2 linked regions of the Macaca mulatta genome follow. The protein of the gene in region 1 interacts with the protein of each later gene in a pairwise test. Links are inferred from orthologs where the notes say so. Each region holds a gene or a part of one and is shown on either strand. Other genes may lie near its edges.

Evidence for each region.
Region 2: the proteins of FGFR1 (region 1) and GRB14 interact in a two-hybrid assay, tested with the Homo sapiens proteins (2 studies listed by BioGRID, with this or other methods). The link is inferred for Macaca mulatta from reciprocal best matches to the Homo sapiens genes FGFR1 and GRB14.

The regions. Positions count from the first base shown.
Region 1 is NC_133413.1:40,411,103-40,415,514, reverse strand, and holds the start of FGFR1 (fibroblast growth factor receptor 1 precursor), read left to right. Parts: upstream 1-1,485; 5' UTR 1,486-2,105; exon of another isoform or gene 2,106-2,902; intron 2,903-3,387; exon of another isoform or gene 3,388-3,513; intron 3,514-4,412. UniProt on the Homo sapiens protein: Tyrosine-protein kinase that acts as a cell-surface receptor for fibroblast growth factors and plays an essential role in the regulation of embryonic development, cell proliferation, differentiation and migration.
Region 2 is NC_133417.1:69,443,896-69,447,543, forward strand, and holds part of GRB14 (growth factor receptor-bound protein 14), read right to left. Parts: intron 2,685-3,648; coding exon 2,547-2,684; intron 1-2,546. UniProt on the Homo sapiens protein: Adapter protein which modulates coupling of cell surface receptor kinases with specific signaling pathways. Binds to, and suppresses signals from, the activated insulin receptor (INSR). Potent inhibitor of insulin-stimulated MAPK3 phosphorylation.

The DNA of each region.
Region 1 (4,412 bases):
CGAGCGCCACCATGCCTGGCTAATTTCTTTGTATTTTAGTAGAGGCGGGGTTTCACCTTGTTGGCAAGGATAGTCTTGATCTCCTGACCTCGTGATCCACCTGCCTCAGCTTCCCAAAGTGCTGCAATTACAGGTGTGAGCCACCGCCCCCCTCCCCCAACTCTTTTCTTAAATTAGCCAGGGAGGCGTGGGTGGGGTGGGTGAGGAGTTGGGTGGGGGTAACTCATTCAGTATTCAAACTTCTACAAGTTTTGGGGATGAGGTGAACAGGCCCTGCCACTAACTTACATAGTGACTTCTATTTGTGTAGTATTTTTGGTCCACGGAGAGCTATCATTTTATTTGATTCTTACGATCATCTTGTGAAGGAGTATCAACAGATACTGCTGTTTTGATTTTATCAGATACAAGATTTGTCGTACATCAAACTTCACAAATGATGGACAGAATGGAGGAATCCTTCAGACCTAGTGCTGCCTACTTCCCACCCCAACGGTGGCCTCAGCCTGGGCTTTCACATCACAGGCCCCACGGAGACTTGGAAAAAATACAGGCTTTTGGCTCCTTCTTGGGACAGCCTGATTCCTCATGTCTGAGCAGGCCCATGAATTTGTATTTTTCAGACGTTCCCTGGAGGACCCGTGTCCATCTGGATTAGGAAACCACTACATTATACCACCCCGCGGCAAGACTCAGGGGGAAGAATTTAGCCACTTTCCTGAGTTCCACAGTACTGGAGGGTGTTCTGAGTGGGCTGTGATTAATTTCCAAACCAACCACACCTCTCCCCTCAACTCCCACTTACTCTTTGCTTCCTAGACGTTCACTTCAGGCTGGAGACTTCTGAAGACCAACAACATTGCTGTAGAATTTACAGGGTCCAGTTCCCGGTGGAGCACAAAACCTAAATTATGTGGCTGGGGAAAGCGGAGATCCAATGGAAGGGTGTGAGGAGGGGCTGACCTTCTCATAATAAAACCAGCTTGTATTTACTAGGTGTTAACTATGCGCCAGGCCCTCGTTGACCTCTCGACTCTATACGAAAAAGCACTATTATCCCCCTTTCACAGATGGGAAAACCGAGATTTAGAACGCGAAAATCATTCCCCAAGGTGCACAGACTCCAAAGTCCACGCTACCAGGTACAATCTCAAGGCTGCGGCGTCTCTTCACCTGTCCCCCACACCCCCCCAAACTGCAGCTATGTCTAGGGCCTGACATTCCGGCGCCCTCTGGGACGCGCTCAGATGCAGGGGCGCAAGCGCCAAAGGAGACCAGGCTGCAGGAAGAGAAGGGCAGAGCGCCGGACAGCTCGGCCCGCTCGGCCGGCTCCCCCTCCTCTGGGGCCGCGGCTGGAGAACTACAAGGCCCAGCAGGCAGCGGCAGGGGGCGGAGGCGGAGGAGGGACCAGCGCCGGTGGGAGTGAGAGGGCGAGCCCTCGCGCCTCGCCGGCGCACAGCGCTCGGAGCGCTCCTTCGGCCACAGGCGCGGCGTCCTCGGCGGCGGGCGGCAGTGAGCGGGAGCCGGGACGCTGGTGCAGCCGTAGCGCGCGGAGGAACCCGGGCTGTGCCGGCAGCAGGGCCACGTCCGGACGGGACCGAGACTCCGCGTAGCGCATTGCGGCGACCTCGCCTTCCCCGGCCGCGAGCGCGCAGCTGCTCGAAAAGCCGCGGAACCCGAGGACTTTCTCCCGTCCGAGCTCGGGGCGCCCCACAGGGCGCACGGTACCCGTGCTGCAGTCGGGCACGCCGCGGCGCCGGGGCCTCCGCGGAACGATGGAGCCCGGTCTGCAAGGAGCGTGAGACGCCGCCGCCGCGGTCTGGAAAAGAGGGGCACAAGGTCTGGAGACCCCGGGCGGCGGACGGGAGCCCTCCCCCCGCCCCGCCTCCGGGGCATCAGCTCCGGCTCCATTGTTCCCGCCCGGGCTGGAGGCGCCGAGCACCGAGCGCCGCCGGGAGTCGAGCGCCGGCCGCGGAGCTCTCGCGACCCCGCCAGGACCCGAAAAGAGCCCGGGGGCGGCGGGCCGGAGCCGGGGACGCGGGCACACGCCCGCTCGCGCAAGCCACGGCGGACTTTCCCGAGGCGGAACCTCCACGCCGAGCGAGGTAAGAGTCGCGGCGCCCCCGGATCCGGGGCTGGCTTGGCGTCCCGAGCGGCCCCCGGCGCCGGAGCCTCCCGGCTGCGCGCTTTGCCCGCCGCAGCCCAGCCGGGACCGGCGCCTCCCTCCGCTCGCCGCCCGCCCCCTCCACCTCCCGGCTCCCTCCCGGGCGATCCGCGCCCCCCTTGGGTCTCTCCTCCCTTCCCTCCGCCCGCGTCTCCTTCTGCGCCCCCTCCCTACGCTCGTCCCGCCGCTCTTCCCGCTGCCCAACTTTTCCGCCAACTCGCGCTCGGGAGCTGGCGAGGCGGCGGCGGCTCCTCGGTGAGTCCTGGGAAGGACAGGCCCGGGGCGAAAGCGGCGAGGCCCGCGGTTTCCTGGACTGGGGAGGAGGGCGGGAGTGGGCGGCGAGGTGGGGTGCGTTGTGTGTGTGTTGTGTGTGTGTTGCATTCCACTCCATCTCTTTTTGGTCCCCTTTTGGGGATTCACCCCCAATTCAGCAGGTAGCTTTGGGCTCAACGCTAAAAATCCAGGACATTCCTCAGTCCTTTTCCATCCCCGCTAAACCTGGGGTCCGGGTTGTGGGCGAATGGAGTAGGGGATGAACTGCAGAGGACGTGGAGGGCTAGGTTAGCTTCTCTTGGAATAGGCTTTAAGGAGGTGTCGTCACCAAATGGCTGAATCTGCTTGAGCTGAGAGCGAAAAACGACTCCGCTTTCCAGAAGGGGTGATCTTATGACTTGGACGGTCTCTGAGAGGGTCGGAAGTTTGGGGAACGGGAGGACGACCCACAGTCGTTAAGCCGAGGTATGGGACGGGGGCGGGAGGGCCGTTCCGTCCCAATCTCGTTCCTGGAGGTGGGGGAAGGGATGAGGTTTTTGTCCGGTGCGGTTCACTCGGCAGCGATGCGTAGGCTTCTCTGGCCCAGACCCCTCTGCACCCCGCTTCCCCTCCCGTTATGTTTAGGGTTGGGAGAAAAGGGAGGCTACGACCCATGTTTGCAGAGGAATTTGTGGACCTTGTAGATGGGGTTCATATAGAACACACGCCCCCTATGAAGCAGCCAGACACTTTTTTGGTGGTGGTGGGGCGGGGGGTGTGAAGCGTGTTTCTTGTTCTGGTCCCAGAAGCTATCAACCCGTTTGAAAAACATTACCACGATGTCTTTCTCCCCCAGCCCTCCCCCACCCCCATTTTCCAGATGTAACAGCCGCATCTGGTTCCGTTTCACCCCACACGGGTACACCGCAGCCGCGTTATTAACTTCCCTCTTCCTCCCCTCCCCCTCCCCCAAATTGAAACTCGGATTCTTCAACTCGTCTTGACCACCTCCCTCCTTAACATTTCTGGAGACATGGAGATGCGGCGTTGAGAAAAGAAAGTTCCCTTGGATCCCGAGTTATCGAAGATCTCACTAAGTTAGTTGTTCGCCGCCGCTAGTGGGTGGCGGCGGTCGGGGTGCTTTCTGGATTGCGCAGAAAAGAGGCATCTTGGGAGATGGGTCCAAGGTTTTAGGGGGTGGCATTCGCGAACGGTTCATCCGCTAGACTAGGGGAGGCTCTTTGGCTGTGCGTCTGGCCAGAACTGGCCTTGACGATGGAAGTTTCTGGAACCAAAGCGTTGCTTTCTCTCCCTTGTGTTATAGCTGGAGCTGCGAGAGCGCCTGCCCTGCCCGGAGCCCGCGGTCCCCTCTCGGCCGCCCCTCGGTGGCGTCACGCGCCCCTCCCGGAGCGAGCCCGGTGCGCTGGGCCGGGGGCGTGGGCGACTGCTGCCAGAGGCGCTCCCTGTGTGTTTTTAAGGACTGATTTGGGACGCATCCCCCGGAAACTAAAGTGGGGCGTTTTACCATTTAAGTAACGGCTACAGGTTTGAAAGCGGGGGGTTGGATTGTCCAGTTGTGTTTGGTAATAGTCTTTGAGGCAGGAAAGCGCCTTGTGGTCCAAAGTTGCGGGAGGGTGGAGAGAGTCAGTCTCTCTCACCCTCTTCTTTCCAGCCTCTCTCAGATTGAAAACACTTCTCTGGTTTCCTTCTTTGGGCGGTAGTTTTGGAGGCTGTAATGAAATCGCACTTTCTCTAGACGTGGTAATTAAGGTGACTGTTTCCTCCGCAGATGTGCCCTACCCTTTGCACCTCCGGACCAGGGCTTTTTTTGGAATACTATCTAGCCTTGAGACTGTTTAGCAGAAAGTGGCCATTTTCCTCCCTTGGCCCGGGCTCCCGGTTTCCTCCCTGAGGCTTGTTTAAAAGCGAAGTAGCAGGGCCCCGTGGGACGCGCCTTGGTCTGGTTAATCACCCCCATCCCCGGGTCATCCACCTT
Region 2 (3,648 bases), on another chromosome or scaffold:
ACAACTGGAACAAGAAATGGATGCTCACTCTCACCAATTCTATTCAACATGGTACTGGAAGTCCTAGCCAGAGCAATCAGACAAGAAAAAGAAATAAAGGGCATCTAAACTGGTAAAGAAGAAGTCAAACTGTCATTGTTTACAGATTATATGATTGTATACCTAGAAAACCCTAAAGACTCCCCCAAAAACTTCTAGAACTGATAAATGAATTAAGCAAAGCTTCAGGATACAAAATTAATGTGCACAAATCAATAGCTCTGTTATATACCAACAGTGACCAAGCTGAGAATCAAATCAAGAACTCAACCCCTTTTGCAATAGCTGTAAAAAATAAAATAAATACTTAAGGATATACCTAACCAAGAAGGTGAAAGAACTCTACAAGGAAAACTACAAAACATTGCTGAAAGAAGTTATAGATGACACAAACAAATGGAAACACATCCCATGCTCATGGATGTATAGAATCAATATTTTGAAAATGACCATACTGCCAAAAGCAATCTGTAAATTCAATGCAATTGTTATCAAAATACCATCATCATTCTTGACAGAACTAGAAAAAAAAAATCCTAAAATTTACATGGAACCAAAAAAGAGCCTGCAAAGCCAAAACAAGACGAAGCAAAAAGAGCAAACCTGGAAGCATCACATTATCTGACTTCAGACTATACTACAAGGCCATAGTCACTGAAACAGCAAGGTACTGGTACAAAAATAGGCACATAGACGAATGGAACAGGATAGATAACACAGAAATAAAGCCAGATACTTACAAACAAAAAAAAAGTGGGAAAAATGACACTCTAGTCAACAAATGGTGCTGGGATAATTGGCAAGTCACATGTAGAAGAATGAATGTGGATCCTTATCTCTGTCCTTATACAAAAATCAACTCAAGATGGATCAAAGACTTAAATCTAAGACCTGAAACCACAAAAGTTTCTAGAAGATAACATCAGGAAAACCCTTCTAGATATTGGCTTAGGGAAAGACTTCCTGACTAAGAACCCAAAATCAAATGAAACAAAAACAAAGATAAATAGATAGGATTTAATCAAACGAAAAGCTTCTGCACAGCAAAAGAAACACTCAACAGAGTAAACAGACAACTCACAGAGCAGGAGAAAATATTTGCAATTTCTAAATCTAACAAAGGACAAATATCCAGAATCTACAAGGAACTCAAACAAATCAGCAAGAAAAAGCAATCCCATCAAAAAGTAGGCTAGGGACATCAATAAAAACTCTCAAAAGAAGATATATAGATGGTCAACAAACATATGAAAAAAATACTCAACATCACTAATGATCAAGGGAATGCAAATCAAAATCACAATGTGATGCCACCTTACTTCTGCAAGAATGGCCATAACCAAAAAAAAAAACAAATAACAGTAGATGTTGGTGTGGATGTGGTAAAAAGGGAATGCTTTCATGCTGTTGGTGGGAATGTAAACTAGTACAACCACTTTGGAAAACAGTGTGGAGATTCCTTAAAGAACTAACAGTAGAACTACCTTTTGATCCAGCAATCCCACTACCGGGTATCTTCCCAGAGGAAGTCATTATATGAAAAAGATACTTGCACATGCATGTTTATAGCAGCACAATTCACAATTGCAAAAATATGGAACCAGCTCAAATCCCCATCAATCAACGAGTGGATAAAGAAATTGTGAGATAGATAGATAGATAGATAGATAGATAGATAGATAGATAGATAGATAGACAGACCATGGAACCATAAAAAGGAATGAAATAATGGCATTCCTAGCTGCCTGGATGGAACTGCAGACCATTATTCCACGTGAAGTAACTCAGGAATGTAAAACCAAAAATCGTATGTTCTCACCCATAAGTGGGAGCTAAGCTATGAGAATGCAAAGGAATAAGAATGATACAATGGACTTTGGGGACTCGGGGAAAAGGTGGGATGGGGGTGAAGGATAAAAGACTATACAATGAGTAGTGTACTCTGCCTGTTGATGGGTGCAACAAACTCTCAGAAATCACCACTAAAGAACTTACTCATGTAATCAAACACTTCCTGTTCCTTACAAACCTCTTGAAATAAATCCATCAATCAATAATAAAAGAGCAATAAATTACTCAGATGAAACATTTTATTAACTGTTCTATTATTAACTGTTCTGTTCTGTTGATGTTGATCAACAGAGTTTCAGAAGTAGAAAAGATCAGCAGTATGACCTGGGGTAAAAAGAAAAGATATACACTACATCAGGCTTCAAACTCTGCAGCCAAGGATGAGGAGAAAGGAGTGAATTCAGAGTGAGCACAAAGGAGTAACATATGTTTTACTGAAATAAGAGTATCCAGATTCCATCAAAGATAGTACATTGAAACCAGTGTGAAGTAAAACTGAGTAGTGTTTAAATAATCAAGGCAAATGTTTTAAATAAAAAAAATCAAAGACCAACCTTTAACATCAAGTAATAAAATAATAAATACAACAAAGTAAATATGTTTTAACTTGCAGCTTAATATGTCATTCATAACACATCACGGATACTTCAATTTACCTTTGATGTCCCTTTAGTAGAAAAATATAAACCAGATCTTCTTAGAAAAAAGTAAATTTTTTTCCAAGACTTCTTTCCCTGTTCTTTCGCATGTAAGAAACCATGAATTTCAGGGTATGTGCTTGAACTCAGAAACATCTGAAAGAAAATTTACATATTTTCAAAGTATGATTAAATCAATGATATGGTAACCTTATACTAATCATATTAAGATTTCAAATATAAACATGTAAAAATCACACAGGATCATAACATGTAACATTACGGTAATTAACTATGTGTGTGTGTTTTGATAGTCCTTGGTGTCTCTCTCTCTCCTTCTCTCTCTCTCTCTCTCTCTTTCTATCTCTGTGTGTGTATACACACACACATACACACACAGAAAATAAATCAGAGTCTTTTAAAAACCTGAGATGTTTCAAATGAAAATGAGTTCACAAAATAGACATTCTAAGTGATAGTATGTAGTTATCTAACTACCAAAATTATCAGCTAATTGAATGTCCATTCAAAAAGTTGGACGTCATCTACAGCGTTAAGTCCTGATATACTTTTCATTGTTTTCTGTGGTTTTCCCTGAGATTACAGGTTGACCTATTAACTTCATTATGTTATAAGTAAGACCACAATCCTGACTTCAATTGGGAAGCAGGAAGTTGAGCCAAGCTCACCTCCTTGAGGAGGATAAAGCAAATAAAACTATCTCTTCTTTGTCATCTATGGTTCTCAGCTGTGGGTGAATGTGGTAGGTCACGTTTTCCAAAGAGGACTGCAACAATGTCTTCCATTCCACATGCTCTTCTGCAATGTCATCTTGTCACTGAATCACAAAAAGGTGGAGTCTTTCTCCACTCTCTTGAATGTGAGCAAGCCTGTCATTGCTTTGACCCATACAATATGTGGAAGGGACCCTTTGCCAGTTCTAGGTGTAGTCCTTAACTAGCCTGGTGCTTTTCATGACTTGGCCCTTGGAATCCAGCTGTCACATAAGAAATGTGACTACCCTGAGACCATCACAGGTAAGAAGCCCAATGCAACTGGAAGAGCCCTGCAGGATGAGACACCATGAGACAGACAGAGAGAGAGAGAAAGTGGGGGGAAA